4 linked regions of the Lonchura striata genome follow. The protein of the gene in region 2 interacts with the protein of the main gene of each other region in a pairwise test. Links are inferred from orthologs where the notes say so. Each region holds a gene or a part of one and is shown on either strand. Other genes may lie near its edges.

Region 1 (7,500 bases), on a different chromosome or scaffold from region 2:
AACTGTTTCTAATAGTATTTTGCTGTTATGCTTGTTTAGAACTACAGCATCTTTCATTAAAGAATGTGGCATGCTTTGACACTTGCTTTTTTCTTTTTTTAATTGAAATAGATGGACAACCAAATTGTTGTTTCTGATTATGCTCAAATGGACAGAGTGCTGCGTGAGGAGAGAGCCTACATCCTGAACCTGGTGAAGCAGATCAAGAAGGCTGGGTGCAATGTGCTGCTCATTCAGAAGTCCATCCTGAGGTACGTTAACACCCAGGCACTGGCCCTCTGCGGCACAGTAGGAATTGTTTGGAAAACTGAAGCCAAACACAAATCACACTTAGCAGAATAAAAATGGCTGTACCAGCACCCAGCACTGTCTGTATTTGGAGTTTGATGGCATCCTTACTTTGTACTCTGAAGAATTTGAGCACTGACTCCTTGCCTCTCATTTTCAGGGATGCTCTCAGTGACCTGGCCCTCCATTTTCTGAACAAAGTTAAGATCATGGTGGTTAAAGACATTGAAAGAGAGGACATTGAGTTTATATGTAAGGTAAGGTGGGTCATATAAATGAGCAGCAGTGTTTTAAAATCTACCCCCAAACTAACTGCCTAGCCAGGGCCAGTTTATTGTGATATTTTCACAAGTTTCATGTTTTGACTATAATGCAAGAGCAGACATTGCCCTAAAAAACATTTCTGCTCTTTTGAGCATTCACACTTCCATTGAAGGATTCAGGATACATGTAAAAGCTACAGTCCCTTCTGCATTTTACTGTCATATGCAGAAGAACAACATGCTGTGTACTTGCTGACTCTGCAGTCAGTCTCTGGATTAATTTTTTTTCCCCATTATTTTTCCAGACTATTGGAACTAAGCCTGTGGCTCACATTGACCAGTTCACCCCTGACATGCTGGGCTCTGCTGAGCTGGCAGAGGAAGTCAGTTTGAACGGTTCTGGGAAACTGATAAAGGTGAGCAAGGAACAAAGTGTTAATACCTACTTAACATCTGCCTGATGTTTTAATAACTGGTAGCTGTGGAATTTATTACATTTAAGTACCTGTTTCTAATCTCTGAGTAGCCACCGGCACAGTGGTTTTGGTTGGCCAGACATCAGTGCTGTTACAGAATTTGAAAATGCCAGTGGCAGTGTCTTTTTGTCCCAAACTTCTATTTGTTCCCCAATGTCAGTATCTGGTTTTGTATTTTAGATTACAGGCTGCACAAACCCTGGGAAAACTGTGAGCATCGTGGTCCGTGGATCCAACAAACTCGTGCTGGAGGAAGCTGAGCGCTCCATTCACGATGCCCTGTGCGTCATAAGGTGCTTAGTGAAGAAAAGGTAATGTCTCAGTTGGGTCAGTTAGTAACACTTAAAGCATGATTGTGTGTGCACTTGTGTGAAGTGAGGTTTGATGTCACTTCTGTGCCCTCAGGGCTTTGATTGCTGGCGGTGGAGCCCCAGAGATCGAGCTGGCGCTGCGGCTGAATGAGTACGCCCGGACGCTGAAGGGGATGGACTCCTACTGTGTCCGTGCCTATGGGGATGCACTTGAGGTCATTCCCTCCACCCTGGCTGAGAATGCAGGGCTCAATCCCATCTCCACGGTGACAGAGCTCAGAAACAGACATGCCCAAGGAGAGAAAACAGCTGGCATTAATGTCAGGAAGGTAATGAGGGGTTGTAATACCTGGGTGTTACAGGGGAAATGCTTAACCTCCTTAGGGTTGGACTAAGGAGGGGGCAAGCTGGTAGCCTCCCTAAAATTACAAGGAAATTACAGCTTGTTCTCTCACGAGCTCACCCTGAGCATTGATAATAGCAGATATTATCTGCTTTATGCACACGACAGGAAACATTTCATGTCTCCACAAAAGCGATTCAGCTACAACAAAAGATCCATTTAGAATGATCTGTAGGTAGGATCTACAATGAAAGGTGGTCATGAGTTGAGAGTAGCACCACAGCTTTTTCTCAGTTGGCAGTGTTGACCTTTTTTGTTGGCTAATTTTGACTGGATATGGCAAGTGCTTGGGGAGGGAAGATGTGTGCTGTAATGCCCTTGCTGCAGTTGAAAGCCTTGTGATAGTCCAGGAGTTGACTGCCCTCAGGATTCTGGTCAAAGAAAAAGTGCTATATGCGACTGTAGTGTGTCTTGCACAAAGTGAAAGCTCCTTGTTCGCCTAGGGTGGCATTTCCAACATCCTGGAGGAGCTGGTTGTGCAGCCTCTGCTGGTGTCTTTGAGTGCACTGACCCTCGCCACAGAAACCGTGCGCAGCATTCTCAAGATTGATGATGTGGTGAGTGGTGTTGATATTGTGGTTTGGGTTTTCCCTCCTTCACAAGCATCAGCATGTTGTCATTCATTTGCTGTGCTTCAAAATGCAGTTACTGTGTGAGTGTTCTCAGTTTGTGTGCTGCTTAAGACCCTTCAGCTTTTTAATAACTTCAAATGAATTATAAGTACTGCACCATAAAGCAAGAAATTAGAGTTACTAAAAGCCCAGGATCTTTAAACAAAGAAGGAATTGTGATATATCCTGTGATTTCTTCTGCCTGACTCTGTGTCCTCCCTGCAGGTGAACACTCGAGGATAAGCTGAGCAGAGGTGGGGACCATGGCCTCAAGCTCTTGCCCTAGCACCTGTGTGAATTGTCTTAAACTCCACCAAGACTGATGTACTTTGATCGGGTTTAACTTAAGTTGGTTTTCAAAAAGAAAATGCTGTTATATTAATAAACACACAGTAGTCTACCTGACTCTTTGCTGTTTAATTTCTCTTGGAGTTTATGTTCAGTTACGTTAGCTTTTCTCTGCTCCTCTTTAGGGCTGAAATGTTTAAGGCAACCAGTCACTTCTTGTGATACATTCTAAAAACACCCTTGAAGTGCACTCTAACAACACTTACCTAGTTTATAGCTGCTTCTCCCAAAGCTTTCCCTAAGGGAGTAGTGGTACTGCCCTCAGCGATGCCAGGCTAGAGGGGAGGAGGATCTTTGCAGTGGGAGTACCTCCCATTCCTTGCTTTCCTGAGGTGTGCATCCTGATGCCATCACATGATCCAGAGCCCTACAAAAAGTGTTCTTCCCATGGTTTCCTCCCCCTGGCCCCAGAATAATTGCTTTTCCCAAAGCTGGCTGAGAAGTCAAAAGTACACTGCTCTATAACAATGCAAATTAGCTTTCCAACTCCTAATTCTTAGCGTGACATTTTGAATTAACCCTTTCATCTCCATTATTGCTACATTGAAACAACCTGATTCCTTTTCATGTTTAAAGGAGAGTGTTTCTTCCATTTCTTTTCACATTTCTGTTCATGATTGGTTGGTTTGTTGCATGGTTGGTTGGAGTAAATTTCCACCATGGTGTTGATCTGTTGTGACTTGCCAAGTAGAACAGAGTAACTCAACTACTAATTAATAAATTAGACAATTGATTTAGGCATTAATGTTCTGCATTAATTATGCATTGCCTGTTGAAAATCGCAAATAGTGCCTTACCCCGCAGAGTCACATCCAACAATGATCTTAGTTTATGTACTATGATTAAAGTTTTCATCCCCCATTATCACAGTTAAAATTATTGACAAGAATTACAGCATCAATTGTGTGTGATTTAATCACAGAAAGTATTTATAATTTCACTACATTAAATAGGTCCATCCAGCATTAACTCTGCTTTGTAGAGGAATATGTCCTCATAGAGGATAGAATATTCCTAGGGCAGAATATTCCTGCTTCTGGTTTAGGATAGAATATTCCTAGGACAGAATGCTCCTGCTTCTGGTTTAGGATAGAATATTCCTAGGACAGAATCCTGCTTCTGCTTTAGCCTTACCATGCAATTGCTTACCTGAAGTACAAACTTCAAGACGGAAAACCTTCTTTAATAACTTGAGGGCGCGAAAAACGCAGGCTCGCCTGTGAGAATTGGAGGTTCCCACTAAAATCCTGCAAGAAGTTACCTAAAAATCCGCACGGGCAGCGGCTGCGAGCGCGGCGAAGCCCAGCCCAGCCCAGCCCGTGGCCGGCGGCGGCGCTCGGGCCGGGCGTTAACGCGTCGCGCTCCGCCCCGCCCCGGGGCCATCTCCGCGAGGCGGAGCGGAGAGGAGCCGCCTCCCGGCACCGCCTCCCGGCCCCCCGGCACCGCCTCCCGGCCCCCGGCACCGCCTCCCGGCCCCCCGGCACCGCCTCCCGGCACCGCCTCCCGGCCCCCGGCACCGCCTCCCGGCCCCCCGGCACCGCCTCCCGGCCCCCCGGCACCGCCTCCCGGCCCCCCGGCACCGCCTCCCGGCCCCCCGGCACCGCCTCCCGGCACCGCCTCCCGGCCCCCGGCACCGCCTCCCGGCCCCCCGGCACCGCCTCCCGGCACCGCCTCCCGGCCCCCCGGCACCGCCTCCCGGCGCCCGGGCATGGAGGACGCGCACCGGGCCGCCCGGCTGGCCGCCTCCTGCCTCCGCACGCCGCTCGACCCGCGCACACGGGCTCCCGCCGCGCTCTACGAGCGGGGACCGCCGCCCGCCGCCGCGCAGGTACCGCGGGCACGGCCGAGGGGCTGCTGGGCACCGGGGGACGGGGGCTCCGCCTGAAGCTGCTCTGCAGAGGGGTCACACGCGCAGACACACACACACACAGACACAGACACACACACACACACAGACACAGACACACACACACACACACAGACACACACAGACACACAGACACGCACACACAGACACGCACACACAGACACGCACACGCACACACACGCGGGGGACACCTGGCAGATGGCCCGGCCGCAGCGCCGATCCTTTAATAGGCTTGTGGCAGCGCGGCGTCTGGAGACCAGATGTAGGAACTGGCCTGGCCTGCCCTGCCCAGGAAAGGGGAAAGGGCTGGCTGGCATCGTTCCGCGGGTCGAGAAAAGGAGCTTGGCTCCTACACGCCGGTGGCAGCAGCAGGTTCGGGGAGATGGAGTGTGCTGGCGCTGGGGCTTCTGTGTGGAAAAGTAGTCCTCTAATTTTTTTTTTTTTTTTTTTTTTTTTTTTTTTTTTTTTTTTTGGTAAAGAAACTGGCCCATGACTTTTTAAAACATGCTGCTTAGAACAAAATGAAGCTTTTGTGATGCTGACTAACCTGGCTTTAATAACTTCTCTGACTTGTGGTGTAAGCTTTAAAAATGCTTAAAGAGTATTCACTGCACACAGCTGCAAACTGACAATCAGTATTGGAAATATAAGCTGCACAGAATCCCTGTCATTTCACAGTAAGTTATGGAAATGGAATAAACATTTATGCACCGCATCTGTAATTACTTCTTTTCAGACTGGTTATGGAACTAGGAGGCAGAGAAGGTTCTGTTTGCTTGTAAAGAAAGGCATTTTTAGAGCTGCATAGTAATCAAGGAAAAATTACACTTTACAAAATAGTTAATTTTTTTCTTTTGGTAACTCCTTTTGATTATATTTCCTGTTATAAACATTGATTACAGGGCAGACTTGGGAATTTTTACAGGCTTTAAATAGGACCCTTAGGATAAAAATTAATATGCAACAAGAACATTCCATGTACTTCTACATTAACATTTGTATACAGGTATCTCTGTGTAACTTTAGCAATCCTTAGACTTAATTAGAATAAACCAATATTAAGAACCTTGTTCCCCTTCCTTCTAGCAGAAAAAAAATTATGAACATCTCTTCTAGGATGGCTTCGACTTGGATTCAAATACTAACAGAGAGCAGGCCTCCCCTCCAAAGAGAGACTGTGACACGTGGATAGACTTTTCCAAAATGTACAATTCAAATCAAGAGTATTACTTGAAGCTGGAAGAGTTGAAGAATGCCCACATGGAGACAATGGCAAAACTGGAAAGTATGTATCAAAACAAACTCTATTTAAAAGGAGTACAAGCCTTGGATAAAAGAAATGACACCTCTCCAAAGTGCTGTAGGTAAGTTTGGGGGCAGTTCAGTTTTTTAGCTGAAGATTCCCAAATGCTTTGCAGGCAGCTGTGTTTCTGGGCTGGAAAGTGTTCCACTCCCCAACACTCATAACCAGATAATCAGAGAAAAGTCAGTTTTGAAGATAAAACCACTCATTTCCTTGCTAGTGGTCTGTGAGTTTTAGAGATGCGTGTGCAGCAGGGATTGGGCAGCACATTTAGGAAAGCACAGGGCCTTTCCCAAGTCAGGAAGTGCTGACTTGGTGACCAGCACTAAAACCAGGATCTGCTTTGAGTGCCCTGTGTGCTGCTCTTTTCCCTTCTCTTGCCCCTCAGCCACTTGTTTTTGTTTCTAGTTATGATTCCTTAGAGTGGAAGTCACCAGCTTTGCATCAATGTTGGACTGGCTCAAACCAAGGGTTTTTTTCTCCCTCTTTATTTTCAAGGCCAACTTGGGACAAGAGTTCATATCAGCCTCTTAACCTGCACAAATCCTTTTCAGACTCAGACTTAAGTGATCCCTTGGGCTCGAGCGTATCGGACACGTCTGATGAAGAATTAGTGTTTGAAGAAAACTGCAGCGGAGCTGGATCATCCTTATTTGCTAAGCAGCAGATTGAAAAAATGTGGGATGGCTTCTGCCTGGAAGACTACATTTCCCATGCCAAGCACAGCTTGCCCAGCTCACCAGCCTGCAGGAAGGGGCACAAGAAAGAGAAAGTGTGGTCCCCCAGAGTCACCGTGCCCAAGCCCTTCCAGATGACCATCAGAGAAGCTCAGAAGAAAGAGCAGAATGTCAAATCCAAGTCACAGATTGAGCTGGAAAATCACTTACTGAAGAAGCAGCTGGAGGAGGAAGCAGAGTGTCAGAAAAAGTTCCGAGCCAATCCCGTGCCCGCCGCCGTCTTCCTGCCGCTCTACCACGACATTGTGCAGCGGAACGAGGAGCGCAGGAGGTCTGTGAGGGAGAGGAGCAAGCTCAAGCTCCTGGCTACCCAAAAGCCCTTTAAATTCATTGAGCGAGAGAGGCAAAGGCATGAAGCCAGGAAAATGCAGTTAAAAGACCTTTCCCTGCCTGAAAATAAAACTAAAGTGTTCAGAGCGAAACCAGTCCCAAAATGTGTTTATAGTCCAGATTTCCGTGACAAGGTAAAGGAGGAGGAGCTCTGCAGGGAAATCAGGATCAGGATGAGAGCTGAGGAGCTGCTACAAAATTCATCTGTACCCAACAGCAGACTGGCCTTAAAAGAGACCAACAAAAAGAAGAAACACAAGAGCACTGAAGCAAAGCGAATGGAACACAAGCTCAAGATCAAATCGAGCATTCCCGATTTTGAACTCCTACATGAGAAATTCCAGAAACGCCTCCTGCAACAAAAAAAATTAAAACCCCTCACAGTCTGTGAGCCTTTCGACCTCTGTACTTCATACATTCCCTCAAAAAAGGACAAGATCTTGAAGGACATGCAAGAGGATGAGGAAAAATTGAAGGAAACAAGGTGGCCATTTGCCTCTCCAAGACGGAAGCCTCAGATGGGGCAGTCAGGGGCAAACCCACATCTCCTGGGCGAAGGAAAA
Region 2 (7,618 bases):
TGCAGGAGTGACAGCTAAATTTGAAAAACATTTACAGTCTTGACATAGGTATGATTCCCACTAAAATAAATTGTGTAAGTTCATCTGGTCTTTTAAGAGTCCTCTCCAGGTCTCCAGGGGCTTTATAGGGACTTTTCATCTTAAGATCAATTCAAAAACCCTCTTCAGTTTCAGAGCAGCCAATTCCCATTTGATTTACACCTGCCTGGATCTGGCACAGATCCGTGTAGACCCACATGATATAAATAAAATGTCAATATAAAGGACTGTGCTGTGTTGAGGTTTGTAGAAGTCGTGGCTTCCATTGCCCAAGGGCTGACACATTTACTGGTGCACTTAGCTTTATACATGGGCATAACCATTAATTACCTCTGTCCTCTTCTTCACAGGCCACCTTCCAGCCTCTTCCCTCTTATTCCTTCTCCCTCAGGCAAAGTGTCTCCTCTGTGTAGCAACCTCTAGAGACTTTTTTAATGGCAACAGAATGGTCCAGGTCACATCTATCTACTGACAAAAGGATAATCAGCGCTGCTGGCAAAAATCCTGTTCTTACATCTATCCATTTTGGTATGAAATGCCTGAAATGTGTTCAAAATTCACTTTGCTGCTAAGTCATTAAGTCATCTGTAAAGGACAAGGAGCAAATAAGATACCATCAGCTCGACTCGGGAGGGGGAAAAAAATAACCAACAACTGTCTAGGCGATCTTGGGCTATTTTCAGCAGAGGTTTTGTGCTAGCGTGGGGTGGCTCTGAGGCTCGCAAAGGAAATTTCGGCATAAATGAAGCGCGAAGCCGTCAGCGGAGAGCAGCAGGTGTTTGTCCTCAGAGCCCGCGGGCAGGGCAGCTCCGGCCCGACCCCACACCTCACCCGGCACGGGCTGGCAGGAAGAGCTGCCTGCTTTGCTGAGCTTGGGTAAACATTAGGATCTAATTTATCATGTGACAATAAAGGAAACCTTTCCCTTTCTCCCAACCCTTTTTTTTTTTTTTTTTTTTTTTTTTAACAGTCTTTGTTTGAATTTCAGCGTGTGGTTTTTGAGGTGCAAAGAGTGGAGATTTAACCTGGGTCTCTGGACTGATTACTTTGCTGTCAACTGATGTATGTGGGGCTCTTTCCAGACACATCCACAAGTGTTACGTCTCACTAAATTACATGAACAGGGAGCCAGACCTCTTGCTGAACTTACAAAAGAGACATCACACTCATTTAATTAAAAAGATCTGAGTTGCTGGTGTTCTTCATGTTAGATGGTATATCCTGGGTTACATGCCCAGGAGAAATGAAAAAAAAAAAAAAAAAAAAAAATGTTTTCCTTGTACTACAAAGTAAATAGGACTGAGAAATATTTTAGTATTTGCAGAGCCTGGGAGTTCTGACTTAATCATTCCATGTGTATTTCGTGCAGCACAGAGCATTATGCAAAGATCTGGTTATTCAATTTTTTTCTCTAGAATTTCAAGTCCTGGCCTTCCCCGCTGATGTGGTCCCGGCTTTGGTGGACTGCACATGGGAGTAGCAATTGGCTTTAAAGTCAGGCCTTTCAAATATTTTTGGGGCACCTCAGAATCTCTGCTGGATCCACAGTCTGGGCTCTGTGTGGCATTCATAGAGCCTGTTGCCTAAGGAAGGTATTTGCAGTATTCCACATGGGAGCATATTCCTTAGCTAGGATATTCTGGATGTAGGTTCCCTCCTGGACTAGGCCATCCTTTTGGGCATGAATACAGCGCCTCCTTCTCATGTAGCAGACATTTATATGCTGTGGGAACTCTGTTCCCACCTGAGGCTGAAACCGATTTCTCAAGAAAGTGCCTAAACACTGGCACTTCCACCCTCCTCTGAAACTTGTGTACAGAGTGATTTGAAGGTAACAGAGATAAAGGTGACAACTCCTTGAGGCTGAGGAGGGTCTGCAGCTAAAACCTCCTGCCTCTTAGATGGGAAATCCAACCACAGATGTGAAGAGCTGAGCAAGCTGAATGTGAGTGTGCCTTGTTAACAAACTGGGTGAAGTGAAAATTAATATACAGAATTCATCCATTTTTATTCTTAATTCAGGATTGTGTCCTAGATTCTTTGTTTTCATAATGAAGTAGGATTACAGAATGGTGAAAATATTCATTTTTTGGTTTTAACCACTTAAGGACTAAACAAAACTTAGTTTCAAAAGAAAAAGACACTGGGTTCTAAGGCAACCCAGACTGAGAGAAAATGTTACTCCATGTTTGAGGATCTACATGAATACAGAGGTTCATTAATTTATTCCACATGACCTGGCTCCTAGATCAGTTAATCCGACTGGATATATTGCAGTGTCCAGTTTGGGAGAGATTATCAACTCTGTGCCCGTTACAGTCTTTAACCTTTTGCCCTTTCATCCACAAAGTCTCCATTTGACTCGTCAAATCAGGCCAAAACAGTCTTTCTACTAACATTATTAATTTTCATTTTTTATGTGTGACGAGCTGAAGTGGAATGGTATTTGTTCACACAGCCATGAACTCCACTTTATTTTCCAGCCTTGTTTTGGTATTGCTGGAGCAGGTTATCTTGAGGATGCTGCCTTGGCAGCTGCTTAGCCTGAAGTCTTTTTCATCCACTGAAAATCTGGATCAAAGCTTATAAATAAAAGCATTTACCTATGTACAGATTAATTCATAACAATTCACTTTGGAATCTTTTTGCTATTCTTCCTACATTGAAAAGTCAGACCTCAGTTATTCAGACATTCAGTGTTAAATCTGATCTATATTCAGCAGAATTCATTATTTGAATGTCCCTCATCATATTTGGCTTTTTCCTCAAAGTTCCAGTTCCCAGAGTCATGGGATTACATTAGAAACTTCAGGAGGAAAAACAAAAATGTAATCTAGACCTCATGGCTGTACAGGGAAAACTTAAAAAATGTGACTTGAATTCACTCTAAAGGCTCAAATACCAAAGGGAAAGAGCACAGTGTAATAAATGTGTAAAGAATTTTGTGTGTGGAAAAGGAAGATTGACTCATTAGCGATCCTTTCTATCCAGTGCTAGGTGTCGAGATGTTGTGTTTAAAAATAAATTCACATAATCCAGCCACAAATCTGCAAAACCTTCTGTGCAGCGACTGCTGCTTTTTGGCATGACTTGCCTCTGTCTGCCTAACTGGCCCTTGATGCCTTTTAGAGCTTTCGACTGTAAAAGGAACAACAGGGTCAAAATGCAAATACTTTATTCAGGGTGGTAGCACAAATGCGAAGAGAGGAAAGAGAGTTTTCTAAGCTTTGCCTGGCAGACTTCAACTTTCAACTCATGGGCATGGTGAAGGCTCCACGAAGAGAGTAAAAGCTATAGAAATCCAAGTGGGAAAACATTTCTATGGTGTTTTGGAAAAATAATAGTCAACATAGCCAAACCCAGTTTCCTGTGGGGAACAGGCTAGTCAGAGAAGTTGTTCTTCACTGTGCGAGGACCTGGCAGCTCTGCTCCACAGAATCACAGAATGGATTAGCTTGGAAAAGACCTCTGGGGTCATTGAGTCCAGTCGATGACCAAACACCACGGTGTCAACCAGGACATGGCAGTGAGTGCTACATCCAGTCTTTCGTTAGACGCCTCCAGGGATGGTGACTCCAGCACCTGCCTGGGAGCACATTCCAATGTCTGATCACCCTTCGCGTGAAGAAAGTCTTCCTAATGTCCATCCTGGCAGCTCAAGTCAATGTCCTCTTGTATCCCCTGCTCTTGTCCAGGCTGAGCCCCCAGCTCCCGCAGCCTCTGCTGGTGCTTCACACCCTTCCCAGGTCCATTCCCTCCTCTGGACCCGCTCAGCCCCTCAATGGCTTCGGCCCGAGCTCCCCGGAGCCGGTCCCAGCCCCTGGGCTCGCAGGAGCAGCTTGGGCCAGCGGGGCCGGGCGAGGCGCTGCGACTGCGGGGCCACTCCGGCCTTGCCCTGTTCCCAGCCCGAGCTCGCCTCCTGCCCCGGGGCTCCGCTGCGGCTTTCCCGTGGGCGGCGGCGGTATCGCTCCCGGGGCGGGCAGCGCCGAGCGGGTCTCGAACCCCCGTCCCCAGCGGCGGGAGCGGGGCAGCGGCGGCCGCGCCGCCCCGCGCGGTGCATTGTGGGCGCCGCGCTGATTTATGCGGGGCCGCGGAGCGCGCCGGGAGCGGCGGGAGGAGGCGGCGGCGCGGCGGGGCCGGGACCGGCGGGGCCGCGGCGGCGATCGCGGCTCTCCGGGCGCGCAGCGCTTCTGCCGCCCCCTGAGGCCGCGGCGGCGCCGCGGGCGGCCGGCACCACCCACCTGGCCTCAGCCGACCCCGCGCCGGCCACCACGGACGTGGAGGCGGCGGCGGGCGGAGCCGGGCCCGGGCCGAGGGGACCGTCCCGGCGCGGCGGAGCCCCCGCCTCTCGGTAGGGGCCGGAGCGAGGGCGGGCTCGCCGGGGCCTCCGCGGCCGGGCTCGCTCCGCAGGGGCTGCGCGGGGCCCGGGCCGGCCGCGCTCCCGGCGCCGCTGGGGCCTCCGGCGAGGAGCGAGCGAGGCGAGGAGCGAGGCCCGGCCCGGTGCTCCCCGAGACGGGCGGGGGCAGCGGGAGAGCCCGGCGTCCTGCGCCCGCGGCTTTGCTAGCCGGCCCTCCGCGGGCACGGGGAGCGGCGGCACCGGGCCGGTGCCCCCGGAGCTGCCGGCTGCTTTCTTTGCCCGCTCTCGGTTGCGGAGCATCGTCTGTGGGACTAGTGCCGAGGAAACAACAGGTCTCGCTCCCTGCTCGCCTTCCTAAGGACGCCAGCGCCTTGCTCTCGGGATTATAAATGTTTGAACTAAGACGCAGGGAACTGGAAGGAGAGCTTCCCGTTGGAATTAATAGAAGAGAAAAGAAGGGAGGCTTTTCCAAATCCTCTACACGAAAGCTCGTGCTGTTTTCCCCTGCTGTCCGTACTCTGTTTAGTAACGCGATTGTGACCTGAGTGGAATTTATGAGCGATGAACTGTTGAAGCTTGTTGCATCTCTGCATCGGACATTTTTTCTTTTTTTGTCAGCACATGATTCCTCCATCCCAGCTGTTGCAGGGCCTATGGGCCAGTAATAGAGGGATGGGAAGCTGAGACAGTTTATTTTCACATTCTTCTGTACTGGGGACTTGGCGAGTTAGCTGAAGCTGCTGCTTTTTACCGGATCTGCTCTTTTCTCGGCAGGTTTATTCTTTTTTTTCATGTGTTTCGATTAAACAGTTACTGGACTGGAGCTGGATGGGTGCTTTGCAATCCAAAGGGTTTTGGGGGATAACAGAAAACTGCTAAAACAGAGAAGAAGACCTGGTGCTGCAGGAAACCTGGGGCCTGTTTTCACAGCCTTTTCGTTTTGTTGAGCAAGGTAAATAACGTAGTGGTGAAAGTTCAGGGCTTATTGTAATCATGCATGAAAATGTTGCAAAGCACTTCAGATTGTTCCTAGTCTTTCAAAGTATTGAGAGGACCGACAGTAAGAATCAGAATGGATTGTTTTTCAGATGTGAGTGTAAAATATAAGGCTGAGAGCAAAGTTTGTGGTACCTGAGAGGTTTCGGGAGCTGCTTTTCTTGATTTTTGCTTAAGTTCTTGTAGATTTGTGCTTTTGAGAGAGATTGCCTGAAGAACTGTGTTGTTGGTTCAGTGATTTACGAGTGGGTTTTTTCCATGGTTTTTAAAGCCTTAATGCCTTAGCTCTGGTAGGGATCTGTTAAGGTCTCTCAAAGGTGCTCCCAGTTGTGTGCTCACTTCCAGTAGTGCACTCCTCCTATTTGCATTGTTAACTGTATTCATCCTCTACCTTTAATTATTTTTGCTTACCTTTACTTTTGCTGTCCGCATTGACAGCTGCTACTACTCCATAATGAATTTTTATCTTCCTTTACATGTTTTTATCTCCCGAATTGGACCATTTTCATTTACTACTCATTTACCATACATTACTTTCACCATCATAAAACTTCCACAGTCAACATACGCTCAAAGTACTGTTGTAGATACAATCTTTGTACATTTGAAGCAGTGGAAGAAGCAGATAATGTTTCCCAAAATGTGCAGTGTAATAGTTTGCTGGGTGAAGTGTATAATTTTTGGTGTCAGGCTGCATGCCTTATCTTTTTTTTTTTTTTTAAAGACCTCGGCAGCAGTTTACTCCTCAAAAAAGCATAAATCCGTTAAAATGAAGTCACAGTTTGAGACATAGATGCAAAAATCTGGTTTTGCAAGAAGTCACAAGATTCTCATTATGAAGCAAAGCCTTGATTAAGTTGACTGTGTACCTTTTCTCCACTCTTAATGAAATAGTGGCAAACGCCAAGGTGTTGGCAGCCTTTGCTGATGCTATCGTGGGGAGAGCTAAGTGGGTACTACGGGCAGCACTCAAAGTTCCTGTTTAGATTTGTTTGACCGAGATTTCTGGCCTTTGTTGTGTCTCGTTTTTGTTTCAAGATGATGTGTGAGGTGATGCCAACCATCAGTGAGGCCGAGATTCCCACCGGGGGAAATGGAGGCCACGGTTCAGGTTCCCCGTTGCAGTCAGATGCTGATTCCCACTTTGAGCAGTTAATGGTGTCCATGCTGGAAGAGAGGGATCGCCTGCTGGAAACGCTCCGCGAAACTCAGGAGACGCTCGCGCTCACCCAGGGCAAGCTGCATGAGGTTGGCCATGAGAGGGATTCCTTGCAGAGGCAGCTCAATACTGCACTTCCACAGGTATGGACGTTTGGGAAGGCAAGGGGTTTTTCAATGATTTTTGTGTTCTTCGTGGTGTGCTGTTGGCTTTCTGTAGTTTGGTTTACTGAAGAGTTAGGTTGTCTTAGGGGAAGATGAATCTATCCTGAAGGATTTTTTGGTGTTTGCTCACTTTGAGAAAGATGCAAAAGCAAGGAAAGCAGGGAAGAACAGCCCTTTCTCTCCAGTCTGCTTTCCCAGTTTCTGGAATTTCCTTAGCATAAACGTAGAATGGTGTCTACATCTTTTGTCTAATAGAACTTGATGGACCTTTTTCTGCAACTAGTACTTTTTAAATGCTATTTCTTAATTGCCTGATTCATTAAGGTACTTAAGAATTATTACCTGGTCTAGTGGGAGGTGTCCCTGCCCACAGCAGGGGTTTGGAACTGGATGGTCTTTAAGGTTCCTTCCAATCCCATTCTGGGATTCTATGAATTCCATACAGACCATTTTGACTCTATTAAAGACTTTGATTTAAAACCTTGAAGGCTACTGCCTTGTGAATGCATGCTGAGTTGTCATGGCAATATAGAAGTCTGAGTGTGTTGTTTAACCTGTTTAGTTACTTTTGAAAAGTTTGGATTTGGCTTTTTTTTTTTTTTTTCGTCCTGTTAGGAGCTCCTAATTAGTGCCTTGTGGAGAATGCACGTGGCCTGCAGTGCTAGGTTTGTTACGTAAGGAGCATTGTTAGGAAAGGTGATTGGTCTCTGCAGAACTCTTTGGGTTTTATCCATTTGAGTTAAAAATAAAACTGGACTTTGAACATATTGAGAAGCCTTTGGCTGTAGGCAAAGCAGGGGTTGCTTTGAGGTGTTGGTTAACTGTTGACAGCCTTGGTCTTTCTGGTGTGGTGGTTGCTGTCCCAAATGTGGCACAATGGTGCTATGACTTTTACAAATGTTC
Region 3 (7,124 bases), on a different chromosome or scaffold from region 2:
CTGGTGATGGAATATCTCCTTTTAATAGGATTTGGCTGAGGAACAAACCACAGCAATCACTTCAGCTTGGGAAGTTCTTCACCTGGGGATGTGGAAGTGGAGGTTTCTTTCAGGAAACCTTTTGGGAAGTGCTGCCAATCCCAAGCCCTCTCCCTGCCCTCTCTTCCCAGGCAGTCATCGATGCCAACATCTTCCCGGTGCTGATCGAAATCCTGCAGAAAGCGGAATTCCGCACGCGGAAAGAGGCGGCCTGGGCCATCACCAACGCCACCTCGGGAGGCACCCCTGAGCAGATCAGGTATTCCTGAGCCTCCCCTCCTGGGCCACACCTGCCTGGGGTGGAATTCAGGCCAATTTCCAGGCAAAGGAGGAATTTGGAGAGATTCTGGAGAGTAACGGAGACAGGCAGAGCTGGCTGCTGGATGAGGATCCCAGATTTTCTCCATCTCTCTTTGGGTAGTTGAGGCTACATCTCCAAATGTAATGACAGATTAAATCCCAGTGTGGACTTAAGTCAAGCAGCACCTGGATTTCAAAAGTGGCTCAGGTCAGATATTCCCTGAGCCTCCCCTCCTGGGCCACACCTGCCTGGGGTGGAATTGAGGCAAATTTCCAGGCAAAGGAGGAATTTGGAGAGATTCTGGAGAGTAACGGAGACAGGCAGAGCTGGGTTGTGATTTCCTGCTGGATGAGGATCCCAGATTTTCTCCATTTCTCTTTGGGTAGTTGAAGCTAAATGTCCAAATTTAATGACAGATTAAATTCCAGTGTGGACTTAAGTTGGCAGCACCTGGATTTCAAAAGTGGCTCATTTCCTTAAAAAAAAAAAGATTTCTGAAAATAGGGCTGCATACAAATACAAATAAATGCATCAAAATTAACCTTGCAGAGCAGTAAATGTGTATTTTAAGGTAAATTTCTGGATTTTAGTTGGACTCCTTTGCTTTCCCAAGGAGCCAAGGTGATGCTCCTGAGCAGGCAGTGATGTTGGTGCTGCTCTCCCCCTGCAGGTACCTGGTGAATTTGGGTTGTATCAAACCCCTGTGTGACCTGCTGACTGTCATGGACTCCAAGATCGTTCTGGTGGCATTGAATGGGCTGGAAAACATCCTGAGGCTGGGAGAGCAGGAAGCCAACCAGAGTGGGACTGGGATCAACCCCTACTGCAGCCTGATCGAGGAGGCCTATGGTAGGTGGGGCTTTGGGCACTGCAGGGCTCTCTCAGCTGCTTTTCTGCTCTGTTGAAGGGTTTGTTATATTCCAAAATAGCCAATATTTGTTCCAAAATCTTTTCAAACTCGTTTAGTGAGTGATGAGAAAAATAACTCTGACCTGGAGTCCAAGCTGAAAATCGTGGCTTGCACCAGGTGGGAGTATGAGCCAGAAATGAGCTGAGCTAAGTAAAAAGTGACACTTCTTGATCTAAAATTGCTCTGACTGTGCCCAATTTTACACTGGAAATCCAGGGAGATTTTGCTTTTCCCTGGAGTGATTTAATTTGCTGCTGTTGGATTTATTTTTTTTTTTTGGTCCTGCTCTCGATGCTTTGAGGGAGGAACAAGTTCCTATTTTGGTCTGAAACTCCCTGTGAGCTGGCAGTGTCTGTTTTGCCCTCTCATTATGGAATATCTGGAGTGTCCTGATTCTCCCTGGAAGGATAATTCCTGGAATTCCTGAGGGTGCCCTGTGCATGGATGCTTTCTGTGCAGCGCTGGATGAACCGGGGCAGCGAGAGCTGGAGGCTCCTGGCACAGGCCCTGCTCCTCCTCCCCACCCCCTGCAGCCACCAAATCCCTAATTTTTCATCCCGCTGGAATTTGGGATTAGCCTGCAGCTGGGAGCACATCTGGATCAGCTAAACCTGAGCAGGGGCAGCTTTGGCACAGCTGGGTTTAGGCGTGGTTTTATTCTGCTCACAGAATCCTTTGGAGGAGGGAGAGGGGATTTCTTTGCTTCATCCCATTCCAATTTTTTTTTTCTTTTTTTCCTTCAAAGGTTTGGATAAAATAGAATTCCTCCAGAGCCACGAGAACCAGGAGATCTACCAGAAAGCCTTTGACTTGATTGAGCACTACTTTGGGGTGGAGGACGACGCGGCCGTGGCTCCCCAGGTGGACGAGAACCAGCAGCAATACATCTTCCAACAACCCGAGGCTCCCATGGAAGGATTCCAGCTATAATCCTGGGGGAAACCTCCAAAAAAAAAACCAACAAAAAACAAAACAAAAAAAAACCCAAAAAAACCCACCACAAACTTTCTGGAAAGTTTGGGAGAGCAGCTGCAGGTCCTGGCTGGGAAGGTTGGACACCCACTCCACCTGTTTGGGAGAACTCGACAAACACAGAGAGCGCCCGGTGCTGCCAGAGAAAAGGGGAATTTCTGCTCTTTGTTCCTTTGGGCTGCTGCTCACCTTGGTTTGGAGGCAGGGAGGACACACAGGTGACAGCTAGCACCTCTTGGTGGCTTCTTTTCATGCTGGTGTCTCCCCAGTGCAGTTTTTTACCTCCAGCCTTGGGTTGGGTGAGGACACAAGAGAGGAGGGAGCTGTTCTGGCCACAGTAATTCTGCAAAAACCTGGCTTGATCTATTTAAATTTTCTTCTTTTTTTTTTTTTTTTTTTTTTTTTTGCACATGTTATTCTTTATTAAAGACTCTTTAATATGCCAAGAGCAAAATTTAGCCCTGGCCTTCCTCCTTCAGGTGGACAATCCTGGTGAAGCCAGGACCAGTTCCCTGATGAAAAATACTGAAAATGGACAGAAAAAATGAGAAGTTCTCTCACTGCTGGGAAGTTTGTTTTTTTTTTCCTGCTGCTTCCCTTTCTCTAGATTTTTTTTTTTTTGAAGAACTGCTAGTTGTATTTCCAAGGATTAAAAAAGCAACAAGAGCCCAAAGATGGGAACTGGGGTGGAATTTTTGGAGCAGGAAGCACACAGCTGCTGTTGCACAGGTTTGGTTTGCATTGTACTGACTGATCTCAGAGCTCTGAAATGCTGAAACCCACCTTCATCTTTACTTGAAATACTTTATTTGCCATGAGAAACGTGGGCTGAATTCGGGGTTTTTCCTGCCTTGGGGTGGTTTTGGGGTGGAGGAAGGTTTGGCTCCACCTGCCAGCGGTGATGGGAGCTCCAACAGCACCAGGTTTTCAGGCTTACCTCCTGCTCACAGTCAGAAAATGCACATTTTACTTCCAAAAACGGCAAATCTCTGTATTTTTTTATAGCATAGATAGGGAAATATTTGTCCAATTGGGCCACAGAGAAAAAACAGAGGTGAAATTTCTGTGATTCCTGTAAATAAGCGCTGTGAGGCGGGCACGCCTGGAACCCCCCCGGCGCTGCTGCTCCTGCCGGTGAGCGCGGAGCTCCCGAGCCCCCGCGGCGCCTTTTGAGCCGCGATTTCGGTAAAAACAGAGGAGCAAACACCCGGTTCCGGGCTGCGGGGCCCTTGTTGTGGAACGAATAAACTCGGCCTGTGCAGGTGTCCGGTGTGGCGTGATGGGGGGACCGGGGGGCGCTCGGTGACCTTGGGAGGGGCCCCCGGTGCCCGGTAACAGCGGCGGCGCGCGGGGCCTGCTGGGAGTTGTAGTCTCCAGGCCGGTCGTGCGCAAGGCATGCTGGGAGTTGTAGGCCACTTTTTTTCCCCCCCCCTCCTTTCTTTCTTTCCCTTCTTCTCCCGCCCTTCCTCCTCCTCCTCCTCCTCTTCCTCATCTGCTTTCCCTCCAAAGGAGCAGGGCGGGAATTGTTGTTCCCCAAGGCAGCCGTGCGCCGGGCATGTCGGGAATTGTAGGCCACAGTTCCCCCTCCTTTCTCACCCTCCTCTTCCCCAACCCCGGGGCATGGCGGTAGTTGTAGGATACAGTCTCCTTCCCCTTCTTCCTCCTCTTCCTCTTCTCCTTCCAGGCCTACAGAGCAAGGCCGGGAGTTACAGTTCCTATGGCGACCGCCGCGCGGAGCACGGCGGGAGCTGTAGTCCCCGCGGGCGCTCTCTCGCGGAGCACGCCGGGAGCTGTAGTCCCCTCAGCGCCTCCCGCCGCGCTTGCCGCCTCTCCCCCGGTGCCTCCCGGCAGGCCCCGCGCGGCGGGCGCTGATTGGGCGGCGGCGCGGGCGGGCGCACGCGCGGCCGTTGTGAGGCCCGGGCCGAGCCGCTCCCTCAGCGCCGGTACCGCCGCCACCGCACCGGCACCGGCACCGCCCGGGCACCGGCACCCGCCGGGCACCGGCGCCCGCCGAGCGCGAGGAACCAGGCCACACCTGCGTCAGACCGCCGGCGCTGACGTCACGGGGTGCGCGCGTGACGTCACCGCGGTGCGGGGAGGGGGCGGCGCGGGGCGGCTTTAACGGGGGGGTGGGGCACCGGGGCCGTAACGGGGCTGGGGGGGGCCCGGTGGAACGGGGGCGGCACGGGACGGGGCTGCCGGTGCCCGGGGAGCCATGGGCCGGGGGCTCCCGGGGGGGTGCGGGGCCGGTTCTCGCCGCCGAGCCCCGGTTATTGCTGCCGTGCCCCGGTTATTGCTGCCGTGCCCCGGTTATCCCTCCCATTCCCCGGTTATCTGTCCCGTGCCCCGGTTATCGCCGCCGTGCCCCGGAGCTGCGCGGGGAAAAGGAGCGCCCGAGGCGCGGGGCAGGTGCCGGTGAAGGGCCGGGCCGTGCCCCGGACACCCCGCACGTGGGCGGTGACACGGGCCGGGCTCTGCCGCCGCTCTGCCCTCCGGTGTTCCTTCCAGGAGTCCCGGTGTGACCGGGGAATGGCCCCGGTGTGACCGGGAACGGCCCCGGTGTGACCGGGGAACGGCCCCGGTGTGACCGGGAACGGCTCCTCCTTTCCCCCCGGTCCAGCAGCAGCAGCTCCCAATGAGGGCGACAATGATGATAATGGGAATTTGGGTGATAATGGGAATTTGGGTGAGAATGGGGAGGCTGAGACCATCCCGACCCCTCACGGGTGAGGATGAGGAGCTGGAATTTCGGGCTTCCTCAGCCAGGGAATTCAGGAGGAGTTGCCCTCTGTGCCGTGCAGGTGCCGATTTTTGGCTCAGGTGTGAAATCCAAGAGCTGGGAAGGACAGAAAGGGCCGCGGGGGTTGTGCCCAGAGGGAAAATTCCGTTTATCTGCGGGCTGGGAGCTGCTGCCTTGCTCCAGAGCGGCATTCCAACGGGAATTATCCCGACACAAACCCGGGAGTGGAGAGATGCTTCCCTCAGCACGGAGCTTCTGCTGCTGATGGCTCCCAAAATCCTGCAGATGTCCTCAAAGCCTTTCTGTCCCCGCAGAGCCCGAGGGGGTGCACGGGCTGTGATGAAGAACCAGGCAACGGAGGCCAAAGCAGCTCCACGTCCTTCCAGAAGGAGCGGCGGGATGGGGCTGGAGGAGGGAGACGCTCCGGAGGCTGCAGCCCCCGCGGAAGGTGGGGGACCCCTGGGGCTGGGGGGTCCCGGCCCTGCGGTGGGCGAGGGCGGCGTCGAGCTGCCACGAGACAGGGAGCTGCTTGTCCAGCTCAAGGCAGACAATCCTGCTTTTCCAGGGCAGAAAATCCTGCTTTTCCAGGGCAGAAAATCCTGGTTTTCCAGGTCAGAAAGTCCTGGTTTTCCAGGGTAGAAAGTCCTGGTTTTCCAGGTCAGAAAATCCTGGTTTTCCAGATCAGAAAATCCTAGTTTTCCAGGGTAGAAAATCCTGCTTTTCCAGGGCAGAAAATCCTGCTTTTCCAGGGCAGAAAGTCCTGGTTTTCCAGGGTAGAACATCCTGGTTTTCCAGATCAGAAAATCCTGGTTTTCCAGGACAGAAAATCATAGTTTTCCAGGGCAGAAAGCCTGGTTTTCCAGAGTAGAAAATCCTGCTTTTCCAGGATAGAAAGTCTTGGTTTTCCAGGGTAGAACATCCTGGTTTTCCAGATCAGAAAATCCTGGTTTTCCAGGACAGAAAATCGTAGTTTTCCAGGGCAGAAAGCCTGGTTTTCCAGGGTAGAACATACTGGTTTTCTAGTGAAGAAAATCCTGGTTTTCCAGGGCAGATAATCCTGGTTTTCCAGGGTAGAAAATCCTGGTTTTCCAGGATAGAAAATCCTGCTTTTCCAGCACAGAAAACTGTGGTTTTCCAGAGCAGAAAACTGTGGTTTTCCAGGGTAGAAAATCCTGGTTTTCCAGGGTTGAAAATCCTGGGGTTTTTCCCCTTTTCCTGTGTGTGTGCAGTCCTGGAGGAGTTCCCCTCTCCAGCCCGCTGCCAGGACGTTCCGCCTGCTCCATCCCTGTTTGATCCCAGCTGCTCTTCCCCAGGTTTAAAATCCATTGTCATGCTAAAAATCCCAGCCTTGGAGCTGCCAATTCCTCTGGGAGGGAGGTAAAAACCTCACACACAACCTGCTTCCCTTAAAAAGAAAAAAAAAGGAGTGGAGAGGGGGATATTCTCCCTCTTGACAGATGTCAGGGGCTTGGTCATGCTCTGCTGATCAAAACTGTTGGGAATTCCCTGACAATGGAACAAAGCAGCTTCTCCTGCTGCAAGTCCAGCCAGGAAAAACCTCCCATTCCCTGGGTGAGAGAAGGGAGGGAAGCCTCAATTTTTTTTTTGTTTTGTTTTGGTTTTTTATGTTCTTTTTTAATTTTTTCCCCCCTTTCCAAGCTGCCCTGAGCCAGGAGGATCCCAAATCCTCCCGCGACGTCTCGGAGGAGCTGAGCCGGCAGCTGGAGGACATCCTGAGCACCTACTGTGTGGATGCCAGCCAGGAGAACCCGGGCGAGGACGGCGGGCAGGGCGATGCCCCCGAGCCCGAGGAGCCCGAGAAGGGCCGGAGCGAATCCCCCAGGAACGGGGAGCAGGAGCCGGGCGGCCCCGAGCTCAACGGCGAGAAGGAGAACTCCAAGGGCACCGAGGAATTCCGGCCCGGAGAGGAGGCTGGAGACAGGGATCAGAAGAGAGCTCAGGAGAAGAAGAAAGCCAAGGGTTTAGGTGAGCGATTCCCAGCTCCCCAAGGGGTTTAGGGGAAAAATTCCCTGCTCCCAAGTGGTTTGGGTAAAGGATTCCCAGCTCCCAAGGGGTTTAGGTGAGGGATTCCCAGCTCCCCAAGGGTTTAAGTAAAGGATTCCCAGCTCCCAAGGGGTTTAGGTGAGGGATTCCTAGCTCTC
Region 4 (7,153 bases), on a different chromosome or scaffold from region 2:
CAACCATAACTCCAAAAGGGAATTCACAGGGCATGAAACTCTGACAGCAGAGGTATCCATGCTGGGCTCAGCCCATCAACCCCACCAGACAACACCACTCCCAGTGTTTCACAAGTCAAACCACCTCTTGCTTCTGACATAAAGAAGGAGTTTTGCTCCCAGCACATATTACCTAATTCTTCACACATTGTGAAAGTCAAAATACCTTTTTGTGTTTCCTGAAGAGCAAGAAAATCGCATTCAAACTGGTATACATTTCTTCTTATCAAGCAAAGAGCTCTCTTCCATTCTGCAGCAGAGCACTCCAGAGATAGGAAAACACTAAGAGGGAACAAACTTCACTGCAGACTCAACAGAGAAAGGAAGAAGAGATTGTGGCAGTACACACTGCAGAAGTGTCTCCTTTCTGCCCTGCTCTCTGTTCCTATGATCAAAGGAGACACAGCTTTCCATCTAAAAGGAGGGCTGGATTTTGTCTGGAGTATGAGGAAGTGGCTGGGTATGTTTTGTGGGAGGGAATTTTAGACACATCACTTCTAAGTTTCTCCTGCACCCAGGTAAATATTACATGCCATTTCAGGTCACAAAAGGAAGCTTGTCACCTGTGACATTCTTTCCTTCTTACTGCACCACTTGTAACCAGGAGAGCAGTGCCATAGCCCACTGCTGATTTGGATGGGCACATCAGAGTGACCTGCTTTGCTGGCTATCCATTGCAAGACCCAGACTTTCCTACACCTTTCCAGAGCTGTGAACTCAGCAAAGAGTTCCACATAAATAAAAGGTCTGACCCCATAATGCCAATGCAGGAGCTCTCTCACTTCCCTGGAGTCTGCAGGCAGCTCTCCCACCAAGCTATTTTCAGCTGTATACACAGAACAAAATGGATAGAAGCAAAGGCCATGATGGAGCATCTACAAAACTGCTCCCTGCTCCAAGGCACACAAAGTAAGACTCTGACTCCTTGCTGGCCACATGGCAGGTCAGGCATGAGCACAAAACTGAGTGGCTTGAAGTAGGCTGATTTTCTGAGGCTCTGCAATGCAGATCTATGCTTTGGAGAAGACTCTAAAATAACATTGACTACAACCACACCACTGTACTACACATTTCTTCCTAGCCCTGATTAGGCCTACATCTCTCCCATGCCCAACCCTCCAAATTACAAGTGCAATGTGTTCCAGACAAGACCAGAGCACACAAGCTTCTATGAATGTAGAAGTGGCACAGCTTGTTTGCTAAATTGCAGCTTTAAAATAAATAAACCACACATACATGCATGCATGCTTCCTCAGACATGTATAACATTCTTCTGAGACAAATTCTCAAATTCCACAACCACTGCCTGAATGACAGACAAAATCAGGACTATGAGAAAAGTTCCACTGAACACAAATTTGCACTAATTCTAAGGACAGCTTATCATACTATCATATTCTGCTAAGGCCATTCTAATGTATCTACCCTGGAAACATCCAAAATGAGAGTGAGACTGCACATCTGGGAATACAGACTGTGCCTTCTTGTGAGGAATGCTGCATTCAGCAACAAGGCTGTTATACCAAAGGAGAGACATTGAATCTCTAGCAGTTTATTCTTTCAAGTGTTCCTATCCATTACTTCCTAATCTCACTCCTCCAGAAAATGCCTCAGAAGAAGAGATCTTTTCCTATTGCTTCTCACTACTCTACCACTCTGACACAAAGTGACAACAGAGTTGATTGCACTTTGCTCTGACAAGAGCATAGAAGCTGCTCCCATCTGTCAGGCTTCCACCTTCTTGATAATCATGTCATGTTCCTTTCTGCAGCCAACTTTGCCATGCCCTGCCCACCTCTGTGAGCACCACTCGCCCTCCGCTTTGTGCCAAATGTCTTTTTGCAGGTCTGCAGGGTATGAGACTCAACCAGTCTCATCCATAGTCATTGCTCCCTTTAGGCCAATTTTCTGCTCTGACTTCTTAAGATCCTGGTGACATGTGTTATCTGGTGGAAGAGCTTGAAACAGCTAAAATGAAAGATTTAATTCCTCCCCAAAAATGAGTTTGCACATGCACACTGCTGTACCCAAGGTGAAAGCCTTACCTCTTCTGAATTCTCTGCCCCACCATCCTTCCCGCTACTGCTGCTGCTGCTGCTGCTGCTGCTGCTGCCACCAGGCTTTGTGGTGCTTTTGGTAGACTTTGGAGACTCCTGAAAGGATGAGAACACATTCAGAGAAAACTTCACCTTGTTCTGAATTTTAGCATCTCTCTGCACAGAGATGTGTGCTGCCATAGACCACTCCTGCAGCACGCCCTGCTCCGGACATCCACTCCCAGCCCTTTCTCCCTGGAAAAGGCATCCTCAGCGGCTCCCGCTGACGCCCAGGACGAGGCCAAGCTCCCGAGCCCAGGAGCAATGCTGGCATCTCCCGTCCCGGTCACCGCAAGCTGACCCCGTCGGGTCACCTGCGGGTGACAGGGCCCAGTGCCCACACAGCCCTTCCCCGGGGCGCGGCCTCATCGCAGATACGCGGTGCCGGGGCACCCACGGCCCCGGCCCGGCCGCCCTGGGCGGCGGCAGAGGCGGATCCGGGCCCTCAGCCCGGCGGCAGAGGGAGCAGCGGGGCCAGGAGGTGGGTGCGGCCGTACCTCCCCCACCGGGAGCATCCCCGCGGCCGGCGGAGCGCAGGGCAGGGCGGGCCGGGCCGGGCTCGCACCGCGGCACCGCCGGCCGCCCCTCGCGCCCGCCCGCCTCCCCGGGCCCGCGCGCGCCCCCGCCGCCCTCCTGCGCCACCCGACCCGCCCGCCGCGGGAGCGCGCCCGCGCCCCCGCCCCCTGCCGGCCACAGCCCCGTGCGCGCCCCCGCCCGAGGGCCGAGCCGAGGGAAGGCCGCGCCGGGGAGGGGCGGCGGGAGCGAGCTGTCGGCCGCGGCGCCGCGCGCGGGAGCTCCCCCGGCACCGCCGCCGCCCCCAGGGCCGCACCTTCTCCTTCTTCAGCTTGTAGGGCATGGTGAGCGCCGGCCCCCAACCGCTCCGCGCCCGCCGCCGCCGCCGCCGCCTGCGCCCGGGCCCGGCCGCAGCGCCCCGCTCCCATTGGGCCAGGCGCGCCGGCCTGCCTAGCAACAGCCTCCGCCGCCGCCGCGTGCCGCTGACGCAGGGCGGCTGATTTTTCTGATTGGTTACAGGGCGCGCGGGCGCCGGGCACGCCCTCGGGGGTGGGGCTGCGGGAGCGGCTCTTCCGGGGCAGCGGCCTGGGCGCGGGTTCGGGCTCGGCTTCTTCCCGCGGGAGGGACCCGGGCGTGCGGGGCTCCCCGGGACATGGCAGGCGCCTGCCCGGGGTTCTCGGGTCCCCGCTGCGTGTTTTCCTCCTCGAGAGCGGGAGGAAAAGTGACTAGGTTCCTTGTTCTGCCCAGCTCTCCTCTGCCTCGCTCGAGCAGGAGGAGCCCGAACAGCTTGAGCTGGCCCCAGGGTCTGCACTCCCGCCTTGCGAGGTGCTTATTAGTGCTCCGATACACAGTTTTGGGGAGGCTGCCCGTGGGAATAAGGGAAGCTGGTGGATCTAAGGGTGAATGGAAACGTGCGTGTGAGCACTGCGAGGCCCAGCATAGCCAGAGCTTTGTGGCTGCTGATAAGAAGGCTGTTACTGGGACATGGGGTCAGGACACTTCCCTGCTCACATGGGGCAAGGCAGCTCGATTAGCTCATTAGCAGCTGGTCCTACATCCTTACAGTGGGATGATGGTGTCCCAACAGCCTCCATGTGTCACCTTCAAGCCCACCTGTTTGTTGGTCCAGGTGGGCAAAAAGCAACCAGCAGGTAGCAAGCTGTCCTTGATTTCATGGACTTAAGCAGGACCTGCTGGCAAAGGGGCACCTCATTAGGGTTCATGATGTCTCAAAGGTCTAATGTCAGTCCTTCCTATCATTGTCCTTAAGGTGTGTCTGCTGGTTTGTTGCTAGAGGTGCAAGAGCTCCCATTCACTGCAGCCAGGCCAGTGGTAAGGATCTCATGGAATGTGGCACATGAATGGGGAGAGAAGCAGGGGACTGGGTGGTATCAGAGGTGCTTCAGCAGGAGCACAGTCTTTTCAGCTAACCTGGTGTGGCATGTGGGGAAGAAATTCCCTAAGCGTGTTTTGAAAGAGCAGTGCATCAGCCTGTTGTTAGTGTGGTTATCATCTTCATTGACCTGAGTCACTGGCACTCCATAGGATACCCAGGAGCAGAGCAAGGTCCTGGTTTCTGTTCTTCCTCTGTCATGCACAAGTGACCCTGGCCACAGCCCCAGCACAACCATCTTGTGAGCAGGAAACTGCCTGTGTGAGCAGGTAAAAGCCACTTAGTTGAATAGTTTGTAGTTATCATCATTCCTTGTCATAAGCTGTCACATGGAATTCTGGATTGGCTTTCCTTGGTCCTGGAGGTTGGTGAAACTCAGCTTCAGTGAACTGGTATTTAGCCCCTGACTTTGTCCAGGTGTCAAATGACTGATGTTTGGGCCTAACTTCCGTCTAACACCGTAGCACAAGGTGGCCATCAAGGTCATCTCCAAAAAATTCCTGCCCCACTGGATGCAGGCAGGGTAAGAAGGTGGCATTATCAGGGGCAGCAGGAGAAGCCCCTGAGCATCACAAAGTTCTGCAGGGAAGGGGGTGTATCTGAGGGTCCTCAGGGCATCAGGGGCTAAGGGGGAAATGGGAGCACCTTTGGGTTGCTTCGTGGGCAGCAGTGCTACTGGATGGCTCAATGTGGCAAGGGTTTTTTGAGGTTCAAAGGAGCAGGGAGTGGTTGGGGAATTCCTGGGCACTGGGGGCACTGTGAGGCAAAGGGCAGGGATTCTGAGGGGCAGGGAACTCTTGGGAGCTTCAGGAGGATGGAGGCATGGTGGGCACTTTGTGGGGGACTGACAAGGGTTAGGGGAGCAGCAGTGGGCAAAGGGGATGGGGGTGCAAGGCAAAGGGGAGCCAGTGGAGGGCAGGGCCATCTGATGCCAAGCCCATGTGTCCACGGATCCTGAAGGGCTCATCCCGCTGAGCCAAGGCATGGAGACAGCTTTCATCTCCTCATGGACCGGCCCCCTTGGGGAGAATCCCAGAGCAGGTGCTTGGGGTACCCAGCCCAGGTAATGAAGAACTTCCTGGAAGCCTCTTTTCGTGTCCACACCTGACTGCAGCACTGCATCCTTACCTATTCTGCCTCCACACTACTGCTTACCGTCCAAGCTCTCCTCCCTGCCCTGGCCTCCCATTTACCCACAGCTCCTTTCTTGCCTCCTGACCTCCCTGGCCCAGCATCTGCCCACCTTCCATCTGCCCCTGCCTGCCCACAGCACATGCTACCTATTCTTGGCAGAAGCTTAAACCTGGAAAACATCTTCCTGGACAGAAAAAAAACATGAGGGTCCCCATCTCCAAATTTTCCAGAAGGGTGATATGGCATGATGTCAGTGGGGAGTCCCTCAGGGTCTCCCCACATCAGGGACTGCCCACCAAGGCAGCAATGAGCCAGAGCTTCTGCCAATCCTATGCTTCTGCTTGTACTGATATCCAGCAGGAGAAGCCCTGTGACCTCTTCCTGGCAAACACATGGAGTCCTGAGGTCATCTTCTGCACCCTGCTCTGGGGCCACAAGCCTTGTTATGCCACCAACCTGCAGCACCTGCTGGGCCAGACCCAGCAGTCTTGTCTTGCCACAAGTCAGCCCCTGACCTAGGACTGCAAGGCAGGGGACTGGGAGCAGCTTGGGATGGGGGGCATGTGAATTCTCCTGCCTTCAGGAAGGATGCATTCAGCATGGAAGTATGGCTCCACTTTCTATCTGAGCTCTTCATAATTTTCTCTACATGGTCCAGCTAGGAAACAGTTGGGTGTCCCAGGCACATTCTTTTCTCTTTCAAGACTTTTCATAGAGGAACACAGAAGAAAGAAACAGAAAACAATTTATATTTCTGCTCCTTATTTTCCCCATGTAGAATGTGTTTAGAGAATTGTTTACCTAGGGTAATTGCTTAATTAGATTCTGGTGTGAATTGATTGAGCCTGATGGCTAATCCAATCCACTTGTGTCTAAACTGTCAAGAGAGGATCACAAGTTGTGAGTTAGATAGAGTAGTTAGAAAAAGTAAATATATAGTTTTAGTATATCCTTTAAATAGTATATTAATGTATTATAGTATAATTAAAAATTAAAAAAAAATCATTCAACCTTCTAAACTAGGGTCAAACATCATCATTTCTTTCCACTAAATTCACCTACATTTACAATAGTTGGGCAAGCAGATGAAGAAGCCCATGGTGCTGAGGAACAGAAAGCTGTCCTCCTAGCAGGCCTCTCTGCATTGCCAGAGGCTGCCTTTAGCACTTGCAGTGTCTGTTCTGCCTTGAATTACCTCACCTTGGCTTTTGTTCCCCTTTCAAGTACCATCTCAAAGAAGATGGCTCTGCCCCTTTTCTGATTTCTCTGCTGCTTTGAATATCTTTGTGCTCTCCAGAGACTTTTCTCACAGTGGTTTCCTAACCAAAACTTTCTCCTGGTCTTTCCATGTCCCTTCAGTATCTCCTGCTCTGGTTTCTGTCTTTTGAGATTTGTTTGAGCTCATCCACAGCCAAAAACAGCTCTCATTCCTTCTTTTGAAAGTGTTACTAAGGATCAGTACTCATTTGCTGCCCTTTTCTTTCCATCAGTCTTCCTCTTCTCCAGATCAGGCTGGTGAATCCAGGTGCAGCTGCCTCTGAAGAATACAGGATGGGAAGGAGGTTGACACTGGTGTAGTCCAGCAGGCTGTGTCCTTGCCCCATGGTGTCTCCAGACCTATTTGGGATCACTCCACACATACAAAAACTCTTTGGAATGTGTCCTTGCCCATAGCAATAGTTTCTACTATTGCTCTATTGTAATCTTTGTTCATGCCTTGAGCTAAGAAATCCCAGATTCTTTCCCAACCTTTACTCTGACTCGATTTTCCTGTTCTTCCTGTACATGTTTTGTAGAACTACATGAAATTACTGACTGGTAAGAAATCCTGTGTCAGCACATTTCCTCAGCTGTTTTGCATTGTTCAGATACAATATTTGTTGACCACAGATGGCAGAATTTCACCCTGGGTTGCTTATACCAGCAGCAGAAGTAAGGTTTGTAGAGGACTATTGCCTCAACAATCTCTCAAGTTGAC

The links.
Region 1: the proteins of PPFIA1 (region 2) and FAM161A interact in binary tests that used the Homo sapiens proteins (3 or more experiments, as listed by UniProt). The link is inferred for Lonchura striata from reciprocal best matches to the Homo sapiens genes PPFIA1 and FAM161A.
Region 3: the proteins of PPFIA1 (region 2) and TXLNA interact in binary tests that used the Homo sapiens proteins (3 or more experiments, as listed by UniProt). The link is inferred for Lonchura striata from reciprocal best matches to the Homo sapiens genes PPFIA1 and TXLNA.
Region 4: the proteins of PPFIA1 (region 2) and PPP2R5D interact in binary tests that used the Homo sapiens proteins (3 or more experiments, as listed by UniProt). The link is inferred for Lonchura striata from reciprocal best matches to the Homo sapiens genes PPFIA1 and PPP2R5D.

The regions. Positions count from the first base shown.
Region 1 is NC_134605.1:24,993,051-25,000,550, forward strand, and holds the start of FAM161A (protein FAM161A), read left to right. Parts: upstream 1-4,387; 5' UTR 4,388-4,408; coding exon 4,409-4,528; intron 4,529-5,683; coding exon 5,684-5,931; intron 5,932-6,368; coding exon 6,369-7,500. Other genes in the region: CCT4 (T-complex protein 1 subunit delta), read left to right, coding at 112-251, 449-545, 857-967, 1,208-1,338, 1,433-1,667, 2,185-2,298, 2,578-2,595. UniProt on the Homo sapiens protein: Involved in ciliogenesis.
Region 2 is NC_134608.1:54,940,138-54,947,755, reverse strand, and holds the start of PPFIA1 (liprin-alpha-1), read left to right. Parts: upstream 1-4,581; 5' UTR 4,582-5,348; intron 5,349-6,430; coding exon 6,431-6,694; intron 6,695-7,618. UniProt on the Homo sapiens protein: May regulate the disassembly of focal adhesions. May localize receptor-like tyrosine phosphatases type 2A at specific sites on the plasma membrane, possibly regulating their interaction with the extracellular environment and their association with substrates.
Region 3 is NC_134628.1:994,302-1,001,425, forward strand, and holds the start of TXLNA (alpha-taxilin), read left to right. Parts: upstream 1-4,108; 5' UTR 4,109-4,289; intron 4,290-4,772; exon of another isoform or gene 4,773-4,890; intron 4,891-5,276; 5' UTR 5,277-5,301; coding exon 5,302-5,410; intron 5,411-6,621; coding exon 6,622-6,948; intron 6,949-7,124. Other genes in the region: KPNA6 (importin subunit alpha-7), read left to right, coding at 171-298, 1,011-1,189, 1,996-2,180. UniProt on the Homo sapiens protein: May be involved in intracellular vesicle traffic and potentially in calcium-dependent exocytosis in neuroendocrine cells.
Region 4 is NC_134605.1:18,812,566-18,819,718, forward strand, and holds the start of PPP2R5D (serine/threonine-protein phosphatase 2A 56 kDa regulatory subunit delta isoform), read right to left. Parts: upstream 3,066-7,153; 5' UTR 2,992-3,065; coding exon 2,965-2,991; intron 2,678-2,964; exon of another isoform or gene 2,651-2,677; coding exon of another isoform or gene 2,633-2,650; intron 2,193-2,632; coding exon 2,085-2,192; intron 1-2,084. UniProt on the Homo sapiens protein: The B regulatory subunit might modulate substrate selectivity and catalytic activity, and might also direct the localization of the catalytic enzyme to a particular subcellular compartment.